Linked DNA regions of Rhinolophus ferrumequinum. The protein of the gene in region 3 binds, or shares a complex with, the protein of the main gene of each other region. Links are inferred from orthologs where the notes say so. Each region holds a gene or a part of one and is shown on either strand. Other genes may lie near its edges.

Region 1 (7,720 bases), on a different chromosome or scaffold from region 3:
CCCCCAACATGCACCAGGCTATCATCCTTTTCCAGAACCCTGGGCCACAGTTCTGATGGCACAAAGTCACCTGTGGGGATTCAAAACTGTAAAAGCAGAGGTCTGAGCCAGACTCTACATCTGCGAAGGGTACTGAGACCTGAGTGATCGTTAAAAGATCCCAGGCAATTCTGCTCTCAGCCCAAGAGGAGGAATGGGGAGGGATTCCCGAACCTGCACCATTAAAGGAGCAGTGACGTGAAAAGGCCATTGCTTTCCTTGCGAGGTTTACTCCAGGCCCTCCAGGGCCAGCCCGGGGATGTCTCAGCTCGGTATTCCCAGCCCACCAAACAGGGAAGGGCTGACTGTGGAACAAGACTGGACAGCCTAGCTCAGATTGCATCCTCCCAAATTCATGGCCACGCAGACCTGTGAATGGAACCTTATTTGGAAACGGGGTCTCTGCACATGTGATCAAGTGAAGATGAGGTCATGCTGGATGTGGGTGGGCCCAAATCCAATGACTGGCGTCCTTATAGGAAGAGGGAGATTTGGACACAGACACAGACCGAGGAAACAGCCATGTGGAGACAGAGCAGAGAGCGGAACGATGCGTCTGCCGGCCAAGGACCGCTGGGGCCACCAGCAGCCGGGAGAGGGGCCCGGATGGATTCTTCCTCAGAGCCTCCAGAAGGAACCAGCCCTGCCCACACCTCGATTTTGGACTGCAGACCTCCTAAACTGTGAGAGAACCAATTCCTGTTGCTTGAAGCCCCCCAGTATGTAGCAGTTTGTTCCAACAGCCCTTGGAGTCTAACACACTGGGTTCTGCCCTGAAACTCTGGCATCTGCAGGCCCCGCCCTCCCAGCCTCGGGCTGCGATGGGATTAAGGCTCCATGATTTTGATGCAATAATTTGGACACAAACAAGGGAGATCCAGGCGGAGGAGAGAGTAACACACAAAGCAAGAAGGAGCCTCCAGGCATAATGAAGCTCCCCAACCCTGACCTTTGCTGCCCATGATCCAAACCCCAGCCCCAGCCCGCCCTGGGCAAGCACTGAGTGGCAGGAGCAGCTGAGAAGTGTGAGGGGGTCCCAAGGCCCAGCCCCTGTCCCCTTGGCTCCTGTGAGCCACGCCGGGGAGTCTCAAGAGCCATGATGCCTTCTGGGCCTCAGCCTTATTTTGCGCCACAACTGGTGGCCAGAAGCATGGCTTCTCTCTCAGCAAAGGGGCCTGGACAGGCCTGGACGTCCAGGGGACACCCCACGGGAAGGTAGATCCTCCCAACGGAGGAACCTCTCCTGCCCCCTCAAATCTTGCTGAGCTTCAAAACCAAATCAGAGAACAGACCTTCCTTCCCCCAGTTAGGGTTTTGTGGAACCTACTCAGCAAGCACACCCCACGCCCAGGTGGCCTGAGCCATGTGATACCACAGGTGGCAGCACCTGAAGGCTGCCCAGGCTAGGCCGCAGAGGCAGCTTAAAGGGCCAGCTGGGGTGTGGAGGAGTCCAGGAGGCACGGCTGACAACGGGGGAACCCAGAAACCCCAGCTTGGAGCCTATGCAGGTGAGTGCAGCCCAGCTGCGACAAAGGAACAGAAAATAAAGCTACTGAGAGGTCAAAGGGCGCTGCAGAGGCCCGCCCACCTGCAGGGCATCTGTCCTTCTGGTGAAACTGAACTTGCCCCAGGACAAGCTGGCTGACCTTCCCCAGAGCTGGTGAAGCCTGCAAGCATCAGACCTGGATGGGAACCTCTGGGGCCCAGCTGGTTCCACCCATTCCTGCTGCCCCTTGAGGACCAGAACAAATAAGTGGGTTTCTCTTCCCTCCCTAGCTCCCACCTCTGGGGGGCAAGAAGTCCTGAGAATAATAGATATTTCCGAGGGGCTCTAAGCAGCCACACAACCCCACCTACCCGCTTCCAGTCACTAAGGTCTCCAGTTTTGGTGTGTCCTGAAAAGTAGTCACCAGCAGCAAGCAGTAAGGACCCTCCTGGGCAGAACACGGAGCAAGGGGCCAGCCCACGGGTTCTGCAGGCCTCTCCCAACGGCCCCTCTGAGCCCTGGAGCCTGCCCGCGGGAGGGAAGCTTTCATCCCGCCCCCCCTTTAATCCGGTGAGCCCCCAAACGGGGCTGGTGGGAGAGGCCCAGCCCCACCCAACCCCAAGCCCAGAGGAGCCCAACTGCCATTTCACCTGTGAAAGTTTCTTCCTGGGGTCCCCAGCCCTCCAGCCCACAGAGGCCAAGACTCCCCCCCCACACACACACACACACGCTGTGTCCCCCATTATCCCCCACCCCCGCGCTGGCATCCCAAGGGCCCTTCGCCTGCCAAAACCCAATCCGTTCCCTGGCTCCCTTTTCTGGGGCTGGAGCTGCAGCGGAATTTCGGTGGAATTTTGAGGTTGAGAAGCATCTCGGCAGAGAGGGAAAGAAAGGGAGAGGAAGGGGGAAAAGAAAGTGCGATTTTGGCGTCAACTTGCAGGATTCGAGAAGGCGCTGAGGGCCAGAAGGCGGGCGGGGCTCCTGCGAACCCTCGGGGGTCCCGCGAGCCCCGCGGGGGAGGTCACCCACCAGGCTTGGGCGGGTCGTCGTTCTTACCTACATCTGCATTGCAAAACGCCTGTTGCGGGTGCACCGGGGAGCAGCTGCAGGCGTCGGCGGGGCGGAGCAGCGTCCCCAGCAGCAGGAGGCCGAGCGCGAGCCACAGGCTGCGGGCCGCGGCGCCCATGGCGGGCGGGGGGCGCGGGCCGGGGGCGCGGGCTCGGGGCTCGGCCGCCGCCGCCTGGGCTCGGGGCGCTCCCCTCTGGGCGGACTCGGTGCGCGGTCTCACTGCGCTCCCGGGCGCTCCCTCCGCACCCGGCACGCACTCGCCCGCACAAACTTTCCCGGGTCTGTGTCGCGGGGGAGGCGCGAGGGCGGGGGCGCGGCTGAAGCGCGGAGAAGAAAGCGGTGGGGGGCGGCGAAGCGAGCGCGTGTGGCGCGGGTCCCAGCTCCTCCACAACCTTCTACGGATGTGTGCGCTGCAAGCTTGCACCGACCTGGCTCTTTATTGAGCTGGGAGGGTGTCGGGCTCCGCCTCCAGTGGCCGACGACCAATGGGGCTCCAGGGGCTCCAGTGGCCCCGCCCCCGCGCCTCCCGCGCCTCCCAGGCCCTACCCCAAACTCGGCTTTTGTTGTGCCCTGGGGGGCCCGCCGCTGCGCACCTGGCTTCCCACCGCCCTAGGCAGCACTCCGCAGCCTCTCAAACCGACAGAGGTTGTAGTGGGGGGCAGGATGCGAGGAGGACAGCGCATCAGGCGGCCCTGACTCAGCACTTGGGACTCGAAGCCCCCCCCCAAGGCACCAGGCAGCCCACCCACCACCCCTACCCCTTCCCCTCCAGCTTGGTATGGGAGGTGTACACTGCCTGATTCCCTTCCACCTTTGGGGGCCCTTAGATTCTAGCCAGAGATTGAGCAAAAGGGGTGTGAGCTTCGGAAGAGGGACCATTCTCTGCGGCCCCCTCCCGTGCCTCCTTGTGGGTCGGTGGCCTCCTGAAACTTACTGAGGATTCATTTTTCAAATGGAGGCCTCAGAATTTTAAGGCCGCTTAGTCAGTTTAGTTGGTAAGGGAGCAGGAGTGGTTACTATGAACAAAACAGGATTTTATATAAACTGGCCATATTTTGACCAGCCCACAAGAGCCAGGGGGCTGGGCCCGGGAGCCCAGGAGGTGGTAGGATTGAATGAAAGCATTTGCTGGGTTCTGCTCACAGTTCCCTCCCTTAGCCCACAAATGTGGGAGCTGTAGAACTCTTCCCAAAACAGTTCTGTGTTCCAGGAAGGGCAGAAGATCTTAGAGGTGTGGACCCGGCACGTGAAGTGTGACCCCGGGGGGATTCTGTCTACCTGTCATTGAGCCTGCCCTGAATCCCTTTGCAGTGGGCGCTCTTACACACAGACCCTCCCTCTTGCCCACAGGATGCTTCGAATCCAGCTGGGGAGATGTAAAGGGAGGAAATTAAAGAATAATTGCCTGCTGAACTGTGTGGTGCTGACTTGAGATGTGAAACTGGAAAATATTTAAAGAGTGGAAAATCATTTCTTTCTACTTATGTGTCCTTTGAAACAGACAACTTGAAGAAAAGTTAAATAGGCAGAGGAGTTATTTTTAGCACCCTGACAAAAACCCAAAGTCACTTTTTTCGGCCTTTGTTCATGTAAAATAGAGTAGTGTTACATGTTCTCTGCTCCACGGCCAAGAGGGGGGCAACAAGACGGGAGAAATTCAGGGAAAGGGCTGCAGCTCTGACCTCACCCCCAAGGAGGGAGGATGGGGTCAGTTTGCCTCAAACCCAGGCAAGAGAGAGAAGCAGGTGGGAGGAGCCCGGGGCGCACCTTGTCTCCCAACCGGCCTCCTCTACTTTACTGTTGGCAGTGGGCGAACAGAGGAGCCACACAGGAGACACCGCTCCCTGCAGTGTGCATCTGACTACAGCCTGCAGGACCTCGGCTTGTTACGTGTGGCTCCCAGCAGAGCAGAACTCAGGATAGACAGGAGGGAGCATTGCCTGCTAGGCCAGCTGGGGAGGGGCTGGCTTCTAGCACCCTCAGACCACACCCCTGGGGCCACCACTTCTGACCAGGTACACTCACCTGCCTCCCCCCAAAGAGACTTTCCCAATTTAGAGCCCAGCAGAACCCCGCGGAGCTGTCAGCCTTCCCGCCCAGGTCTGAGCACACCCAGCAAATACATCCTGGGCTTGGCTTGGCAGAGTAAATGTTGTCCAGGGCCAGGAGGAAGCGCCGAGGCCTCCTCCCTCCCACCCCACTCAGGTAAAAAGAGTCAGGATGACCTCTCAGGCCTGGGCAAGAGGTGACCTCCATCCAGTGAGTCTGGACAAGAGTTGGAAGCATGTCTTCCTGGTGGACTCATCTTCCGGTTTGCAGGAGATCCATTTCCTCCCATGTCCGGAGTGTTCTCTCCCTAGAGAGAGCTGGTGCTGAGCTGAGCCCCCACACTTCTTCCAGCAGGTTCTGGAAAGCCAGATGCTCTACGGGGTGTGGGCATCAAAATAGGCCCCCCGTACGCAGGAAGCTGGACCCGAAAGGGTGGAAATGTCTTGGGCAGGTCTGGGGGCAGCAGGCAGAGGGTGGCTGTAGGGGGAGGTGGTGGGGGTGTCTCTTGCCTGGCTGTCTGGAGGTTTCTGTGGTTTGTGATGCGTCTCCTCAGAAAGGAACGGACAGCTGACTTCAGGGTCACGATGGCCCCCTCTGTCAACTCTGGGCAACAGGAGGCAAGTGGCATCTCCCAGCCCAGATATCTGTCCCCAACATTCCCTGGTGGGCTGTTTGCCATAGGACGTCCTGAAGATGACAAGGAGTCAAGAATGGCTGGGCCACCTACAGCATAAAGATGGGCAACAGTTCCCTGCACACTCCACATAAGCCTTTGTGGTCAGCGGTGGACGTTCTGAAGCATGTTCCTATTTTTGTTTCATTTCATCAATTTCATCATTAATGCTCTGCAGCCAGGGCCAGCTTCCAAGTCCCCGGCCCTGCTGACCTTGGGCTACAGCATTGGGGGGGGGGGCACCCTGGGCTCTGTGGGGTATTGAGCAACATCCCTGGCCTCCACCCTCTAAATGCTGATAGCACCCCATCCCAAGTTGTGACAGCCCAACATGTCCAGACATTACCCAGTGTTTCCTGGGGGGTGGGTGGGGGAGGGAGCATAACCACCCCAGCTGACAAGCCCTCACTTAGGGAAACTAATAAAAATCTTGGCTCTTTAGAAAAGCAAAATGCAAAGTTCCATCGCCTGTGTCAAGGTCGAGCAGAGTAATGCCCATAGCAGCAAACCCACGTCAGTGTGTGTTCCGGGTGCACCACCCGTCCACACTGGTTCTCAGGGGAGGGAGGGAAGCAAGGGATAGTGAAAAGGTTGTCCTTTAAAGGCGCCCATGAGTAAATAGCATGGATAATGTTTCATTCATGTGAAATGAAACATATGCATGGATATAGACAGGTGTAGAAAAAGGTGTTTGCAAAAAGTGAGAGGAGTGGCTCTGGGTGGCGGGAACTTAGGTGACAGGACAGATGTCACATCCTCCTCCTTGTGCAGGAAAAACAACTTCCAGAGGAGGACCCTAAAAAGGACCGCTCCAAGAGCAGGAATACGGGTTTCTCTGTGCTGTCTGTCTGTGGAACACCAAAGCCTGCCTGGCTGCAGCTCAAGGGCACATGGGTCTGGGGGGGCACGTCTCCCAGCACCGAAACTGTACTGGCCCAAGGCCTTTACTCTCAAACGACCCCACTCGTTCACCAACACTGCTCTTGGCTCACGCCTCCCACTGGGGGTTCTTTTGCTGCATCCATGGCTGCATTTCTTGTCATCCTCTAGGGCATCTTAAAGAAAGTGGGGCTTGGCCTCTCTCTGCCTGTACACCTGCCACCTGCCCCCTTTCCTCTCCTCCCAGGCAGGCACCCTTTGGGGCAAAGGCAGCCTTGAGCCAGGGCCTCCACCTTGCAAACCTGTCTGGATATCAACTCCTGCTCCCCAATACACGGAACTCAAGCCTTCAGGGCTGGGGCTGCATGGTCCAGTCTAGAGTGACCCCAAAAAGAAGGGAGGGAGGGAGGCTGTCAACAGGAAGCCCAAGAAGTCATGGACTTGAAGAGACAGGCGCATCGAAAACATCTGGGAGCAGACAGCCCGGACTGAAGGCACCTGAACACCTCCTCCAGGCAGGCGCCCTGTTGCAGCAGCGGTATCAGCCCCAGGCAGGGAAGCCTTGGCCAACCTTGTTCTGGGGGCCTCTGGGATGGCACTGCCTCGCCTCCCTGCAGATGCGTTTTGCCTCCCCCAACTCAGAAGGTGCTGTCCTGCACGCCTTCCTTCCAGGATTGAGGGAGGGTCCACCATTCCCAGAAGGGCACACACGGAGCTCTGCCTTCCTCTGCCACCTCCCACAGCCCCACCTGTGTGCCTCCTGCAGCTCCTGCACTGGGCCTCCTCAGACCCTCCTTCAGACGTCGTCGTCGGGAAAACAAAGGAGTAAGAGAAATGTAAGCAGTCGCTCCTTTCAGGCCTGCTGCTGTGCGTTTTCTCATGCCCAGGGCATTTCCTCTTGGCCCTGGGCATGTGGTCATGTGCTTCCTGTCATGGGCGGGTTAGGGAGCAGGGCCAGGGAGCAGAGATGGGAACCCAGCGCCCGTCCATCTCCAGCTTCCAGGAAGCAGCCTCAGCTGGGTTCTGGGGACCAAGGGCTGTCCAGGAGCAAGGGGTGGGACACCTGGGGAAGGGCAGCCCAGCTCGGCAGGGGTTTGTTGAGGCTGAGTTTTCATAGTTTCAGGTTCCCCTCCCTGGAAGCCCAGAGGCGGGAGGCTCAGGTTTCCCGCCTGCCCGCCATTCTTCCCTTCCTTTGGTGTCGGGAGTGACGGGCCCATGGCCATGATGTCACCGCCTAATCCAAACAGAAGAGGGCTGGTTTGGCGGCGTTGGCGGAGGTCCCATGCTGAGTGCAGCAGTACATTTCATGTCAAGGCTATGATTAGGGCTGTGCCCAAGAATTCCCTCTCCCTTTCTCTCTCCTTCCCTCTCCCCAACACCGTTTTCTTTCTCTGTTCCTGCCTTGTCTTCTTTCCCCTGCTGCTGTCTCCCAGGCTCTCTCTTCTTTGGGGGTGCTTCACGTTCCCGGTGAGGCCAGCCCTGCAGTCAGCAGCACCAAGCTCTTTCCATCCCCCGCCCAGGTTCTT
Region 2 (7,589 bases), on a different chromosome or scaffold from region 3:
AGAAGAGTAGCAAAGGAGAGTTAGAGGGACAGGAAGCAGCCAGAAAGTCCAGGGAACAGCGAATCCTCAGGTATCAGAAGCCAAGCAAAGGTACAACCAGAATGTTAGGCGAACGGTCTCAGGCCTGGGGGAACAGCAGGAGAGATCAGGGACAGCCCAAGGATTTGGGGAGCAGCCAAAGGGACAAGGAATGGCTAGAGGGAGCAAGAAACAAGCCACGGTTTGGGGAAGAGTCCAAGGAGCACTCTCCAGGTAGTGGGCAGGGCCCAGGCACTCACTGTGCATTCCTCACAGCCAGCGGCATAGATCTTGGTGAAGCCCCGGCGCTGAGCAGAACTCAGACTGTTCCAGGGAGCCACGAAACTGCAGGTGGTGATGTGCAGGTGCCCTTTCCACAGTTGTCCTGCGGGGTGGTGGGGGGGGGGTGGTTTGAGGCAACAGGCAGCTTCTGATTGGCTAGGCCGGGGTCAGGGCGGCGCCTAATTGGCGTCCCTGCAGCACCGACCCGGCTGGGGGCGGTCCCCATTTCAACTGGGACCGTTCCCTCAGAGCCTCGCCGGGCCCAGGATACCCAGCAGCGTCTGAGGAACGGGTGGGCGTGGCCCAGGGCGAGGGGGCGGGGCCTCACCAGCGATGAGAAACTCCTCGCTGCGGTTCTCAGACCGGTGGAAGTATCCACAGACGCTCTCCATGGCCGGGGTGTAGACGAACCGGATGTCATGGGCATCCCCCAAGGCACTGAACCCCTTGAACATCTGTCGATGGATGAGGGGAAGAGTCTCTTTTACTGACATAATCCTCCCACTCTATCTTCTTCATATACCAGCATCCTGAGATCACAGCTAACTTCCTGCTCACCAACCAACAGCCAAAGGCTTTTCTTTCTCTCTCTCTCTCTCTCTCTCTCTCTCTCTCTCTCTCTCTCTCTCTCTCTCTCTCTCTCTCTCTCTCTCTCTCTCTCTCTCTCTCTCTCTCTCTCTCTCTCTCTCTCTCTCTCTCTCTCTCTCTCTCTCTCTCTTTGACAGGGAGAAAGATGTTAGGAACTGCTGAGGAAAGTGCAGTAAGGGTACCTTGGTCATTTTGATCTCGTAACGCTGGTATAAGGTGGTCTGGTTGACTTCTGCGGTCCCCACGAACTTGGCCCTGATGACTGCCGGAGAAGAGGGGGTAAAATGAGTCAAATGAACTACGTGAGCCAATAAAACTAAAACAATCACAACAGTCATGCTAACAAAGCACATACATAGATATCAATCACTGGATGCCAAACAACACACTAATAGTTCTGTTCATTGCTTTACCTATATACTGAGTGCCTACTCTGCCAGGCACTGCTTTAAGCCTTTTTCATATATTCATCACGTGTTCATTCACTCAACAAATATTCTAGAGTGCCTGCTGTGTGCTAGGCACTGTTCTGGGTGTTAGGGACACAACAGTGAACAAAACACAGAAATCCCTTCCCTCGTGAAGCTCACATTCTAGCCAGAAGGAGGCAGACTAAACACAAGCAAAATAGATCAGTCTATGGAATGTTAGAAGGTATTAAGTATGACGGGAGACTTCAGAGTTGGGTAAAGGGGATCAGGAGTATTAGGAAACAGGGATTAAAATTTTGAGAAGGTGACTTTTGAGGCAGCCACCCATATGGATACCTGGGGCCAAGGGGGTACCAGGCAGAGGGAGCAGCCAGTGCAAAGGCCGTGAGCTGGGACTGGACCTGGAGTAATCAGGGAACCATGAGGTTGCCAGTGTGGCAAAAGCAGAGTCAGGGTAGGGCTGAGTTTGGAACTGTTCTAGAGGTGAGCCCTGTCGTGAACCCCAATGGACTGAGGCGGAAAACAAAGCACAGAGCGTGTGGGCAGAGTAGGGTAACTCACCAAGGTCGGAGCTACAGAAGGCCATCTGCGGGTGGGGTGGGGCACAGGTACATGCCCTGCTGGGGGCTGCCAGCCACAGCAACAACAGGATGCCGGAGACCAGGGGCGCAAAGGGGGCCATAGTGGGCTCTGCAGAGGTAGGGAGGAGGGGTCAGGGAGGCCCCCAGCCCAGCTGATCCTCAGACTTGGCAGGCCTCCCACCCCATCCTGTCCCCCCCACCACCACCACCAAGCAGCCTGGAGGGGGATGAGGTGACTGTACTTGGGATTAAGGGGTTGGGGAGTTTGGGGATTTTAAGTGGGGGTGGGGATTTGAGAGCCCACAGTTTAGGGGGTCAGGAGTTTCAGAGTTGTGAAATTTGAGTGATTTAAGGGACTGGGTGAGTGGGGGAGATTATGGGGCTGTGGTGTTAGGGGATTTAGGGGGGTCGGGGAAGTCGGAAAGTTGAGAGGAGTTGGGGTGAGGAATTTGGGGTTTTTGAGCTGGAGGAATTTGGGGGAGGTTGGGACTTTCAGAGTTGTGCATATTGAGAGAGAGAGGAGGTGGGGGAGTTGGGGAGGCTGAGGGGGTTTAGGGAGTTGCGGGACTTGGGGGGTTTAAGAGGGTGGGGGTGCCAGAGGGATTTGGGAGCAGATGAGTCTCCAGGTTTAGGGAGTTGGGGATTTAGGAGTCTGGAGGCTTGGGGGGCAATGAGGGAGTTCAGGGCAGTTGGCCGCTTAGGAGGCTTCTGTTGTATTAGGGTTTCGTGAGTTTGGGAGAGTTGGGATGGATGTCAGGGGTTCGGAGGAGTTTGGAGTGCCGGGATTGGGGGAGCAGTTCCAGCACCCTCCCCCCCTTTCCCTTGACCAGCCCAGGGTCCTGGTACCCCCCTCCACCCCCACCCAGCCAGGCTGAGCAGCCAGGTGTCCGGCAGCCGAGGCAGGAAAGCTCGAGCTCTGCTTTAGGCCCTGCTGCCACAGAGGCAGGCCCCTGCCTACCTTCGGTGTAGCTTCTCTGGGCGCTGGGTCTGCAGTGATGGCGGCAGGGCCAGAGCAGCGGAGGATAAATGTCCACTCGAGGGGCGGGGGTGGCAGTAGTGCGGAAACCACAGGCCTCCAAGCTTCCTGGACGCATTACTCATCCGCCCACCATCAGTGGAGGCCAAGGGGCGGGCCGAGGGCTGCCGAAAACGGGCTTCACCCTCCTCTCCCTCCCCCTGCGCCTCGCCCTGGTCATCCCCCTCCCCCATCTCCAAATCGGCCCCATAGGCGGCCTCAATGGAGGGCTTAGAGGCAGGATTCCCCCCGTGCAATTCCCTAAAGCTTCCAAACTTTCTCCAAAGTCTATCCAATCACCCACAAACCCCCAAACTCCCCATGGCTGAAGCCTGAATTAGTTCATTCGTCGGTGAACATTTCTAGTGCACCTACTGTATGCCAAACACACACAAAAATTCCTCTCTGGAGGGGTGGTGGGTTAGCTCAGTTGGTCAGAGCGTGATGCTGATGACACTAAGGTTGCCTGTTCGATCCCTACATGGGCCGCCGTGAGCTGTGCCCTCCTTAAAAAAAAAGAAGAAAAAGCAAAAATTCCTCTCTGATACACCCGACATCCTGGTGCAGGGTTGGGGAGGCAGAGAGGAGGCTGAGTAGAAGCAGTGGAGGGAGATAAAGCAGGTGAATGGAGGAAGAATACAATCTGGAGTGACTGAGGCATGGACAGATGAAGTGACTTATCCAAGGTCACAGTTAATAAGGGACAGAACTGGGATTTGAACTCAGGTGGCCTGGAGCCAGAGCCTGGGTCTTAATGACCTCTCAAAAAACACAGGCAAATAGTCAGCATTTACATAGCACCAACTGTGTACCAGGCACTCAACATCATTTATCTCACTTAAAGCTCACAATGTTTGTGACAACATAGGTGGATCTAGTAGAGGGTATTATGCTAAGTGAAATAAATCAGATAGAAAAAGACAAATGCCGCATGATTTTACTTATATGTGGAATCTTAAAAACACAACCAACCAAACCAAAGAGAAACAGACTCATAGATAGAGAACAAACTGGTGGTTGTCAAAAAAAAGGAGGGATGGGGGGTGGACAAAATAGGTGAAGGGGATTAAGAGGTACAAATTTTCAGCTATGAAATAAATAAGTCAGGGGACTGCAATGTACAGCACAGAGATTACAGTCAATAATATTGTTATAACTTTGTATGGTGACAGATGCTAACTAGATTTATCACGGTGATCACTTCATAATGTATGAAATATCGAATCACTATATTGCACACCTGAAACTAATATAATATTGTATGTCAACTATAATTCGGTTTTTTTAAAGCTCACAATAAGCCTCTGAGATGGGTACCAACATTATTCCCATTTTACAGATGAGGAAATAAGAGGCATAGAGGGATTGAAGAACTTTCCCAGGATCACAGGGAATGGCTGGGATTTGAACCTAGGCCAACTGGAGCCAGGATCTTAACGCAGGCTTGGCAAGCGGGAAGGTGCCAGTGAATTAATGAGCATTGGAGTGGGGGGAGTTGAATGGTGGTGAAAGAGGCCAGTGAGTCAGGAGAAAACTGATACCCTCCCGTCCTGCCCTGCCCCTGCCCCACCAACCCCCCGCCAACGCCCCGGTAGACGTAGATGGTGGGGTGAGGCAATCCCTGCCCAACAGCTTCCAGATGCTGCCTGAATCTTCCCTGGGGTCCTGGGAAAGGGCTCTGAGGGCAGATTGACATCCTTCGTTAGTTCAAGGAGGACAGACCAATAATAACAATAATGGTAGTTGTTAGCATCACTTATTGAGCACTTACTGTGTACTGTGCCCTGAAGTCTTTGTGTAAATTCTCTCATTCAATCTGCAATACCCCCTGGCTAATTAAGCTGGATTAACTCAGTCAACAACAATACCACCACAATAAAAACTACCACCAGCTCTTGAGGAGTGCTTACTGGTTATCAAGCACCGTTCTATAATCTTAGTATTTTATCTCTCAGTCAATCCTGATTGCCTCCTGGTTAATTAGTGTTGGCTTACCAATAATAGTACCCAGCACTATTATAATAATAGTCCCAGCACTTTTAGAGGATGCAGATTTCCTGTGTGCCAGGTATTGTGCTGAGCATTTTTCACAACTCATTGGTTCCTCACAACATCCCTGTGAGTTAGAGACTGTTCATATTCTCATTATACAGATGAGGAAACTGAGACAAAGGATTGAGTGACCTGCCCAGGAATGAGAGTGAAGAAATTACTCTGAAGTAGGGGAGGAAGTAAACCAGGAATTTGGAGAAGCTGATTGTGAAAGTGGCGGAGTGAGAGTGAATGAGACAGGGGGCTGAGTAAGTCAGTGTCGGGACCAAAGGAAGAAGTGAAAGAAGGGAAAGTCCTGCTGCAGCACTTCACTGACCCAAAGCTGGTTCTGACGCCAGCTTTGTGATTCTGAAACATGAGTCAGCACAGAGTTTCGCCGACTGTCTACATGTGAGGGGTTGTGTGGATCTGGTTTATTGTGCAGGTTTTGAAACTGGTAGGGTTTCATGGAGGGGTGTCCATGTGTGTGACCATCTGGGGAGCTGCGTGGGGGCCGTGGGGGCCATGGGGCCCACCTAGGTAGGCAGAGCAGACACCTGACAATCCCCATAGCACACTAAGTGCTTGTGCCTGATTGTACCCTTTGTACAGATCAGGAAACTGAGGCCCAGAGAGGATTAAGTGACCTGCCTAGGATCCCCCATGGCCTTAGGAGGAAGAGAGACCAAGATTCAAAGCTAGGGCTCTCTAGGGGATCCCAGAGTGCAGGGCTCCCTGCACACACACATGTGTGGGCACACACAGACACACCTGCGGGCACACACACACACATACACACGTGCAGGCACACACAGACACGTGTGGGCACACACAGACTCACATACACACGTGTGGGCACACAGAGACACACATGCGGGCACACACAGGCACACAGACACACGTGCGGGCACACAGGCACACATACACACGTACGGGCACACACAGACACACGAGTGGACACACACAGATACACATCCACAGTGTTGTGTTCAGGCTCAGGTCCAGAGGAAATAAGGAGGGTTTAGGAAAAGAGGAGCCTAGAAAATTTGGGCTTGTGTGTGTGCATTTGTGCACAGCTCTCTGCTGTGTCTCTGCCTTTGAGAGTCGAATGTTTGCCTTTAGGTGGTGGTATGTGTGGTGTATGTGTGGACCTGGGTGTGTGTAGCCCTGTGTGTTTGTGTTGCTTCTAGGAGTTGTGTGTGCCTCTGTAAAGCGGGTCTAGGTTGCACATATCCTTGTGGATGTGTTGCTCCCCTCTGTGAGCTGAGTGTTGCCTGAATGTTACGTCACACATCACACGCTGCTTCTGCAGTGTTTCCCTGCAACACTACCCAGACGATCCTCGCGAGCCCGTCCCCACACGGTTCCTCTCAGCGCCCCATAATGACGACAGTCATTTGGGAAATGAGGAAGGTGGGAATGCGGGAAGGAGGGCGGGCAAGGCCTGAAGGTCAATCGGTCACCCTGAGCCTGCGGGCTTCCTGTGCCTGTCGGGAACCGCCACCGCCCTCGCCACCCCTCCGGGAATAGGGAATACCATCTCTACGCTGTGGGGCAGCAGTCTGCACAGCAGAGGGCGGGCACGGCCAGCCCCATGTGCATCCTGTACTGTGTGGGGCTGGGGTCGCCCAACTCAGCTCCCTCTCTCCCGCCCAGGATCAGGGAGACTTGACATATCCCTGTACCTGAATGTGTGAGCAAATGAGTGTGTGTGTGTGTGCGCGCATGCACACACCCAAGTGTTGTGTGTATGCTTAGGAGGGATGTGGGTGTCTCTAGCTGTGTGTATGCCTCTCCGTTTGTACATATGACAAGGCATGTTGTGTGCATGTCCCTAGATACTCTGTGTGCCCAGGAGTGTGGTGTGGGTGTCCGTGTTATGGGTCTCAGTGGTTCTGTGAATACCTAGAAGTGTGTGTACCTCTGTATGTGGAGTGGGTCCTTCTGTTTGTTGTGAGTTTGCCTAGGAGTGTTGCGTGTGTGTCTGTGAGTGTTGACTACGTGTCCACTTCTGTTGTGTGTGCCTGTCCGAGTTGTGTGTGCCTTTGCGTTCTGTGGCTGTGCCTTGAGGGTTGTCTCTGTATTGCATGGGTAATCCTTCATGTTGTGTGTGTCCCTCTAACTGTTGTGTGGATTTGGGTGATGGGAGGAGGGCTGTGTATGTGTCTGCGCCCAAAACAGTTGAGTGTGTGCTGCTGGGCAAGGAGGCTGGCCTGGAGCGCTGGGCTGAATGACTGGGTGCCGGTGCAGCTGGAGAGCAACGTGGGCTCTGGAGCCTGTGTTGGTTGCAGGTCTCTCCATCTCATGGGTCTCAACCTGCGTGGGCATCTCTGGGTTTGATCGTGTAGATCTGAGTTCTAGGGATTTGTGTGTGTGTCTCTAGGTTGTGTATGCATGTGGACAAGGCTAACATGCAAGGCCTGGCTGAAGGGTCCAGTTGCTACATGCTCACGACCACAGCCCCAGGCATGCACACTCACTTTTCTATCATCCAGTCACTGTATAAACAAACTTTCCCTTTTCCGGAAAAGGCTCCCACCCTTATCCAAGCAGAGGCAGAAAGTCTGGAACTTGGGGGTGGTGGAGGGGGAGCCAGACAGACAGGGCTCTGGGTTTGATTTTGAGTTAGGAGGCGCTGTGGAC
Region 3 (8,081 bases):
ATTCTGGAATGGCATGAACCTACTGGTTTAGCGCATCAATAAATATTTCTCTTCATTTGTCAATGAAAAGATAAACATTGTTTCAATGTACTGACATTTGCCAGTCACAATCTAAATTAAATGAATCACAGTTTCTTCATTTCAATTCTGGAATCCTTAAACAATCTTACTAATGTTATTTGACATCGGAATATTGCCTGCACAACTTTTCAGCCTCATGATGATTATTCAGCACATATTGTGTTCAAAAATATTAAGAATGATAGAGGTCATTGGATCTATAAGATTGATTTAAAACATAATACGCCCAATCATGTCTAGCATTGATCACAAAAGAGATTTTGGCCAAACAAACACTACCTCTACTCAGGTTTTTTTCTTCATATTACATTTTTTTTATAAAAACAAAACAAAACAAAAAAACACAGAATACTGAAATTGGAAGGCATTGGGTAATTATGATTGACATACCAAGTAAGTTGACTTTACTTTTAAAGTTGTTATTTGAGACTTTTTGGGACTGTCCATTTGGAGCAAGAAGTTGTTAATTCAATCACAACAAATAATTTTATCCAGCACTAACGTCACATTTGTTCTCTCTACAGAGATTCTGTTTGCATTTTGATTATAAATCCAAATTAAATTTCAGAAGTAGAAGTATTTGTTTTAACCAATTGTTTGAAAACTTTGGAAGCCATTCTCAAACTATACAGTTATGAAATGAAAAACATTCTTTTACCTGAAAGGTTTGGACCTTTTATTTCGGAGTTAGCCCTTCCCTTCAGAACAAGCCCATAAAATTTGTTTTAACCTAGAGAGAGTAAATTGTTCATTTAACCAGATAAACCTAAACTGGAACCTCAGTTTCTGGAATTTAATTCTCATTTCTGTTTTGAAGAGTATAGAAGTCATAGGGGGAAATTTCCCCAGTTGGATATAAACAGTATCCAGGGCACAACTTAGTGTAAATTTAACCCTTGGATAGCTACAATTTGATATGAGAAATTGTTTTTAATGATGATTCTAAGATCACAAAAGATCCATAGTCATCAAAGAAATACTTAATGATGCTCCCTATGTTGTGCTCACCAAGACAGAGAATAAACTTTTTAGACATCTGAAAACGTTTTTCAATAATAATTATGACAAAAATACTTACCGTCTGCTGGTCTGTGACCCATCGGACAATCCAAAACAACCCATTTCTTCAATGTTCTTAGTTATTAAGACTTTTCCAAATATTAAAAGCATCAGAATCGTTCTGAGAAATGTATAACTAACCTGATGTGTCCTTTGTCCATTGTTCATCATCATCAAAGTGGGCATCTCCATGAATCCCCGGCCCGGGTGGGTAGGCATGAGCCAAAACCATTCCAGGTCCATCAAAAGGATAAAAGTCTCCGTGATCTAAGAGAGAACATGTGTTTTGTTTTGTTTTTGGTGTTTTGTATTTTGTTTTTGTTTGTTTTTTAATTGGAAAGCTAATTGTTCTTAATGATGAGGAATCTCTTTGGAATCCTTTCCAATAAAACACCACCAGCCAAATGGATGCATTTCATGGGTCTTGTTTGTTTGTTTGTTGTTTCTTTTTACCTCTAACTGCAAAAGTGATCATTATGTCAGCCTCTCCTTCATAAATCCTGGAGATTGTAAGTGGAGTTACCTTCTCCCAGACTTTCACAGCTTTCTCAATGGCAGAATCAACATCATCTCTTGGCAAATCCAGTGTATAATCCACAATCCTGTATGAGAGAGAACATTTGAGGAAGATGATATTTTCTTCTGAGATAGTAATTTATAAAGTCTCAGTGTTCTGTGAAAACCTCTTGGGACCCGTTACCTGTAGGTAAGGTGAGTTTTCCTCCACCTTGGCATGCCAGGAAAGGTATTGAAGTGCCCAACATCAGGAACGCCGCACCTGGGCTTCTGCATCACCTCCAGAGTGTCGGAGTTCAGCTTCCCAGTGACCTTCAACCCCAGGAACTTCTGCATTTCTTGCATTTTTCTGACAACAGGACTACTGTCCTGTATTCTAGCAAAGACTTTCACATCTTTTTCGAGGTTGTAGTAGTTTTCTAGGTAGTGCTAATGGGATAATAAGTATAGATTTTAGGTCATTCTTATGATTTTTAGCCTTTTGTAGTACACTTGTGCAATTATTCACTTAATCTTTTTCAAATATTCCTCCAGTTTGCTAAAATAAAAATCAGTGTCATATTATTTTTCATTCTTCAATTAGACTCCTCTTCACCTTTGCTTTGTCTTTGTAACTAAATAATCTCTACAGTTTAGTTTACTACCAAAGCAATGAAAATGAAATGGAAAATTTAGATAAATATTTGGTGCACTTAAAGGAGAAACTGAAAGACTTCTTTGGGATTAATTGTGTATTTCAGGTACATTTGTTTAGTTTCCTCAATTTTCCACTTCATTGGTCTCACAAGAACTTGGCTTAGGAAAAAACATGGACAAATCCCTGTGTCTAAACATGACACTAGCAATGTAAAAATCTAGCTAATTTTACATTAAGATATCTAAAAAAGTTCCAAAGCAAGACACATTTTGCAAACTCTCCCCTTGTTCATGTGTCTCAAGCCCAGTGCTGCTGCTATTATGGAGTCTGTGATCTTAGGGAAATACCTCATCCATCTCACCTTTGTTTCTTCATCCCTGAAAGGAGAAGCCGGAATAATGTGATACCAAGACCCTTTTCACATCAAACACTTCATAACTCTCTGTCCTTGAACTACTCCTGCACAGCAATTCAAACCACTCTGAATGAGGTTTATGAATGGAAAACAGAGGGTTTTCCCACTTGGCCCTGTGAGTGAGTGTGGAATGTATTGCCCTTAATTACCTGAACAAGGTCCATGCTGTCATCCCCGTCCCTGGCAGCTCCCTTCAGTGGATAGGCTGAGCAAACTGCCACACACAGCAACAGCAGCATTGGAAGGTTCTTCATTTCCACTCGCTTTACTCAGCTTGGTGTGGTCTTAGTGCCTTGCTTTTTGCCTGTCTTCTCCTAGGTCCACTGTCTAGAGCCCAACTTTTATAGGGTGACAATGTTCCTTTAGATCACGCACAGCTTGACTCATGATTGCTGTCACCTGCATAGCAGCTGGACCACTTCCAAAACCTCCAAATCCAAAATAGGATGATACAAGATACTTTACTAATTTCTCTCAACCTTTCTAATTTTGCGAGTCAAAATAATGATGAACCTCTCCAGGGAATGCTTCCTGTCTTGGTAGAGAAAAACAGGGCTTTTTTTCCTCTGGAAAAAAGTAACTGGAATTTACTAGACAACTTATGTTTGTATATTTGAGAGAAGTAGGCTGATTTGGTAAAAAGCCAGAATTGTGCAGAACTTTTAAATGCAGTTTTAGAAGAACATATTTAAAATCAAATGTTATAAGACCTAAGTAAATGAAAAGCTGTACATATATAGCTATAGTCTGTACTATTAGACTATTAGATTCTGTAAAAGTGGAAGAAATAACATGTACAATAAAATTGGAAAGGAGAGTTCATTTGTGTGTGTGTGTGTGTGTGTGTGTGTGTGTGTGTGTGTGTGTGTGTGTGTATTTGATTTGAAATACCTATTATTGTTTTCTGGCTAGATTTTGTTAATCCTTGAGGAGGCAAAATGTCACGTCCAGTGCAACACAGTCTGTGGGGAGGCGAGAAGAGGCGGCTTTGGGTTAAGTATTTTAAGAAAGAGAGAAACAGAGACTCAATGCGGTTAAATCTCAGAGAGCCAAGGGTCTCGGAGCCTCGAAAGACTAGAGCCCCGAATTGGACGGATTGATGGCTTTTATTGATCACAAACAAGGAAGTGGCATTCTTTTAGACACGGTCTGTGAAAGTCATCCACTACATCAGAAAACTACCTCAAACCGAAATTATTTGTCCCAAAACAGCTGAAGCATAGAGTCCCATAATTACTAAGGTGCAGTATGTACCTCGCTGGGGGGCAAAGTCTCTCCTGGTGAAACAATTGCATGAGCTGAGCAGAAAGAGCTTGATCTTATCACTCTAAAGACCTCTCTCACAATTAGGTGAGAGGGAGCAGCCAGAGTCAGCAGCTTTTTCTCAAGCATGGGGGAAGGGGAGGCAAGGCTCCTTCCCAGATCTTCTAGGGCAGCTCATGGGGGTCTCTGTGGGGTTCCGCCTGGATTGAGTTGTTCCCCCCCTCCATGGGGAATCTTACTCGTCATTGGCTGCAAACCCTCCTTTTGGAGACCAAACAGAGAGACACAGGATGTAACCAGTCCCAGAGAAGTGCAGTACCACAGACTCTTCTTTCTTTAAGGAAAGGTGTCAGGGGACAAACGGCTAGGATGTTGTGTGACTACAGAAAAACTCAGAGGCAGGATAGAACAAAGATTCTGAAGAAAACAGAAGTGTATCCATTCTCTTTTGGTTGGTCTTAATTCTGTACCCAGTTTATTAATGAGCAACAGACCTGTGATAGCAGTTCCATAAATACTAGTAGAATTGAAAGGATTACATGCTTACTGGACTAAAATTCTCCTCTGTCTCTATCTTCTACACTTTTAAAAAATTCTTTCAATTTCTTTTCCTTCTCCCTAAATTCAAATTAGTAGATACTTTGAAGTTAAAAAAAGAAAAGCCATCCTAAATTCTCTCCCCATGCTGCTTATCTTTTTTTCTCTCTATTCCTGTCTTCTCCTTTTTCCTTTTTTTCCCCTTTATGTTCCTTCCCTTGCTTCTTTTTCTTTCTTTTTCGTTGTCAGTAGAATACTACTCATACCGTGTTTGCCTGAAAATAAGACCGGGTCTTATAGTAACAACTGTGTATACTAAATGCTTGTAGGAAGCACTAAATATTCTCAAAAGAAGAACCTTTGTGAAACTTTTTACAGTCTTCTTGCCATCAGACACCCATTCATTTCTCCCACTGGTCCTAACCCTTACAAAAAATAAAACAAACAAAAAAAGCAAATGCAAAAGGAATGCAAATCAGAGGGAGTAAAGCTTACACTTATTAAATGTTCAGTAAGTACACAACAGTTTTGTTCATTACTACCCTTTTTATTCTTTGTTTGTATGCTTGCTTATTTGTTTACTAAAAACAGAACATCCTGGGAATGAGTATTAAGTAAAATAGTGAATAAAAATGTGCACTTGGGCTGGCCCGGTGGCTCAGGTGGTTGGAGCAACCGTACTCTTAATGCTGCCAGTTGGATTCCCATATGGCACAGTGAGCTGCGCCCTCTACAGCTAAGATTGTGAACAACAGCTCTCCCTGAAGCTGGTCTGCCATGAGCAGCCAGAGGTTGGCGTGAGCTGCCGTGGGCTACTGTGTGTCATCAGGAGCAGTTGGTGGCCAGTGTGAGTGGCCAGCAGCCAATGTGAGCTGCTGTGTGCTGCCGTGGGCTGCTGTGTGCTGCTGTAGGCTACCATGTACTGCCATGAAGGGCCTGAGGCCAGCCAGAGCGGCTAACATGCAGTGAGAGCTGCCCTGAGCTGCTACGTGCTGTGAGTGGCCACGGGGAACCGACTGCCTGGGGTTGGGGGTTGAGGGGGGTGGAGCAAGGCTCATAATCCCAGCATGGGCCAGGGAGCTGTGTCCTACACAACTAGACTGAGAAACAACGGCTTGAACTGGAGTGGTTGGGGGGTGAGGGGAAGGCAGAAGAAAAATTGTGCGCTTAGTGAACATTTAATAAGTGTAGGTTTTGCTTCCTCCCACTTGCAAAATTTTTGTATTTTCTTTTCTTGCCTTTTTTTTTTTGCTTTATTTTTGCATGTTTCTTAATAAACACAGGAGAGATTTCATCCAATATGTATAAAAAATGGAATAGGATTCCTCAGTCATAGGATCCCTGTAACAGGAGATGTCCAGATGCCTGAGGACCACTCGGCACAAGCTATACATCAAATTTAAGCATCCATTTTTAGATTAGATGCTGTCTAAAAACATTCCAAAACTCGTGTTCTACATTCCTTTGGTGGGTGGGGGGAGGTCTGTGTCTTGTCTTGATGGAAATAAAGGGGAAATATTTGTTCACACACTGATGTCAGGATAGCTAAGGGCCTTGCCCTGTAGTGGAAACGCATTCCACGAAAGGGTGATGGAGTCAGACAGAAAAGGAAGTGAGAGATTAAAAGTAGGAGAGCTGTGGCAGCCACAATCGTCAATTTCCTCTAGATTAAGGTTTTGCAATACTTCTCCAGTACCAAAATTTATAAAACATATTTAAAGTTTAGAAGGAAGCCTTACAAGTATTATGATTATTTTCCCAACTGTTCAAATGTAATTGGCAAAATGTACCATATTGTCCCTGAAATATACACAAAAGTCTGCCAAAGGCAGAACTTTGTCATCTTTTAAAGCAGCTTCAGAGACTTCTTTGAGAGTTCTTCCTCAAGCCCCAGGAATAGTTCATTACTTACTTTCTAATGGTATCTTGTACCTGCCTCCGTTGCTGCTGATTCTGACTGAATTGTAGTGTAATGGTGTATTTATACCCTCCCCTATATTACCATAAGTTCTTGAGGATAGGAACTGCTTCTCATTTATTTCTGTATTCCTAATACTTAACACAATGCCTTCTGTATAAAAGATACCCCAAAATTGCTTAGATAATTAATTAATACATTAATTATGAATGAAAGGCTCACAGCAAAAGTCAAAATGAAAAGTCAAAAAATTCACAAATCATGCATATGTTTCTAAATTCCCAGATCTTACATGTGATATTGACCAACTCTCCTAATAACCGAATTTTAAAGAAGTTTCGTTTTCTCAGAAAAAGTTTAAGCTGTCATCTTAAGTCTTTCTAATAAGAGAATAAATCAAAGACTTACATATTCAAAATCCTCATCCTATGTTTGTGGAATAGCCAAACTAAGATTCTAGAATCAGGGAGTTTTCTGGCAATGCATGAGATAGTCAAGTTTTATTTTGTAGATTACATTTTAAAAGGCAATGCATTAATGAGAAGGAATAGGTACATTAAAGAGCAACTGAGTGAAAGAAGGAGGGAAAAGGAGGGGAAGGAAGGAAGAAAAGGAAAGGAGGGGTGAGAGAGGGATAGGAAAAGAAAGGAAGAAAGAAGGAAGAGACAGAGTAAATACACTAAATGGAGAGGGGAGCTGTGAACATCAGAAAAAGAAAATTCCCCTCCCCCCCCGCAGAACAGTCATTTGTCATATGGCTAAATACATAGAAGGGTCAGATAAAGACCAGCTTTATAAATCTGACTTCCAGGAATCAGAGACTTGGAAGTAAACTTAAATTCAATGTAATCCAAACTTGGATACAAAAGCTGACAGTAAGTCTAAGTAGCATTCTGTCTGATGACTTTTCACATTTGTCTCCCTGTGTATCATGCTTCTCCATGACTAATCAGATAAGATAACACATGATCCTTGTTATCTCCAACTGATATAACCATTCTTTCAGCTGAACATTCATTTATCAAGTGTCTGGGTCAAATTCTTCAGAATACCCAAACTAAGAATGTAAATTTGGAGATACTATTTAAAAGAGAAATTTAGAAATAATGACCAATTAGTTATTTAAAAATAGAAAAAGATGGAAAGATGAAAGAAGGAAATGAAAGAAGGAAGGATATAATCTGATAGAGGAGATGACCCCTTAATTCTACAAGGAATAAAGAAAGAAGTTGTATAGGCATTATGCAGGAAAAAAATGTGTTTACCTTAGAAAAAGCCCATAGAAAAATTCACAAAGAGTGGAACCTGAAATGACTTGGACAAGGAGGAAAATGTAGGAACAGAATAAACCACTATGCAGTCATGAATAGTTTAGAGTCTACATGGAAAATGGCAGAGTTAATTTTTTTTACTGAAGTAAAAATTGTGTGAAAGCTAGGAATGAAAAATGAAAAATAATGTTGTGAGTAGATAGGTTGTGGCCTAATTGTGGAAGGCCGTTGGCCTTGTGAAAAGTTGACATAAGTGGAGCCATTTTAAAATAGAGCTAGAGCAGCCTTTCCAGAGGAAGAGCCTTGCACATTTCAATCGTTGAAGCTTTGAAATATTTGAACTGGGCAAAATGACGTTTGAACTTGGCCAAACCAACATTGTCT

Evidence for each region.
Region 1: the proteins of stromelysin-2-like (region 3) and TIMP2 are in contact, whole or in part, in a crystal structure (PDB 4ILW), measured with the Homo sapiens proteins. The link is inferred for Rhinolophus ferrumequinum from reciprocal best matches to the Homo sapiens genes MMP10 and TIMP2. Residues at the interface, in NP_002416.1 of Homo sapiens: Glu155, Asp169, Phe170, Tyr171, Ser172, Pro176, Gly177, His178, Ser179, Leu180, Ala181, His182, Ala183, Tyr184, Pro185, Pro188, Gly189, Leu190, Tyr191, Val214, His217, Glu218, His221, His227, Pro237, Leu238, Tyr239, Phe242; in NP_003246.1 of Homo sapiens: Cys27, Ser28, Cys29, Ser30, Pro31, Val32, Gln36, Ala37, Asn40, Ser57, Gly58, Asn59, Asp60, Tyr62, Asn64, Pro65, Ile66, Lys67, Arg68, Thr91, Ala92, Pro93, Ser94, Ser95, Ala96, Val97, Cys98, His123, Leu126, Cys127.
Region 2: the proteins of stromelysin-2-like (region 3) and TIMP1 are in contact, whole or in part, in a crystal structure (PDB 3V96), measured with the Homo sapiens proteins. The link is inferred for Rhinolophus ferrumequinum from reciprocal best matches to the Homo sapiens genes MMP10 and TIMP1. Residues at the interface, in NP_002416.1 of Homo sapiens: Phe170, Tyr171, Gly177, His178, Ser179, Leu180, Ala181, His182, Ala183, Tyr184, Pro185, Tyr191, Asp205, Ala206, Ser207, Gly208, Val214, His217, Glu218, His221, Phe226, His227, Thr231, Tyr236, Pro237, Leu238, Tyr239, Asn240, Phe242, Thr243; in NP_003245.1 of Homo sapiens: Cys24, Thr25, Cys26, Val27, Pro28, Asn37, Leu57, Tyr58, Pro87, Met89, Glu90, Ser91, Val92, Cys93, Arg98, Thr121, Cys122, Cys155, Leu156, Ser157, Ile158, Gln173, Leu174, Gly177, Ser178, Glu179, Lys180.

Annotation. Positions count from the first base shown.
Region 1 is NC_046304.1:52,689,864-52,697,583, forward strand, and holds the start of TIMP2 (metalloproteinase inhibitor 2), read right to left. Parts: upstream 3,015-7,720; 5' UTR 2,712-3,014; coding exon 2,582-2,711; intron 1-2,581. UniProt on the Homo sapiens protein: Complexes with metalloproteinases (such as collagenases) and irreversibly inactivates them by binding to their catalytic zinc cofactor. Known to act on MMP-1, MMP-2, MMP-3, MMP-7, MMP-8, MMP-9, MMP-10, MMP-13, MMP-14, MMP-15, MMP-16 and MMP-19.
Region 2 is NC_046284.1:86,405,917-86,413,505, forward strand, and holds the start of TIMP1 (metalloproteinase inhibitor 1), read right to left. Parts: upstream 3,031-7,589; 5' UTR 2,995-3,030; coding exon 2,859-2,994; intron 2,010-2,858; coding exon 1,881-2,009; intron 1,151-1,880; coding exon 1,071-1,150; intron 756-1,070; coding exon 629-755; intron 404-628; coding exon 279-403; intron 1-278. UniProt on the Homo sapiens protein: Metalloproteinase inhibitor that functions by forming one to one complexes with target metalloproteinases, such as collagenases, and irreversibly inactivates them by binding to their catalytic zinc cofactor.
Region 3 is NC_046294.1:72,226,638-72,234,718, forward strand, and holds the start of stromelysin-2-like, read right to left. Parts: upstream 3,021-8,081; 5' UTR 2,963-3,020; coding exon 2,858-2,962; intron 2,086-2,857; coding exon 1,841-2,085; intron 1,743-1,840; coding exon 1,594-1,742; intron 1,408-1,593; coding exon 1,282-1,407; intron 1-1,281. UniProt on the Homo sapiens protein: Can degrade fibronectin, gelatins of type I, III, IV, and V; weakly collagens III, IV, and V. Activates procollagenase.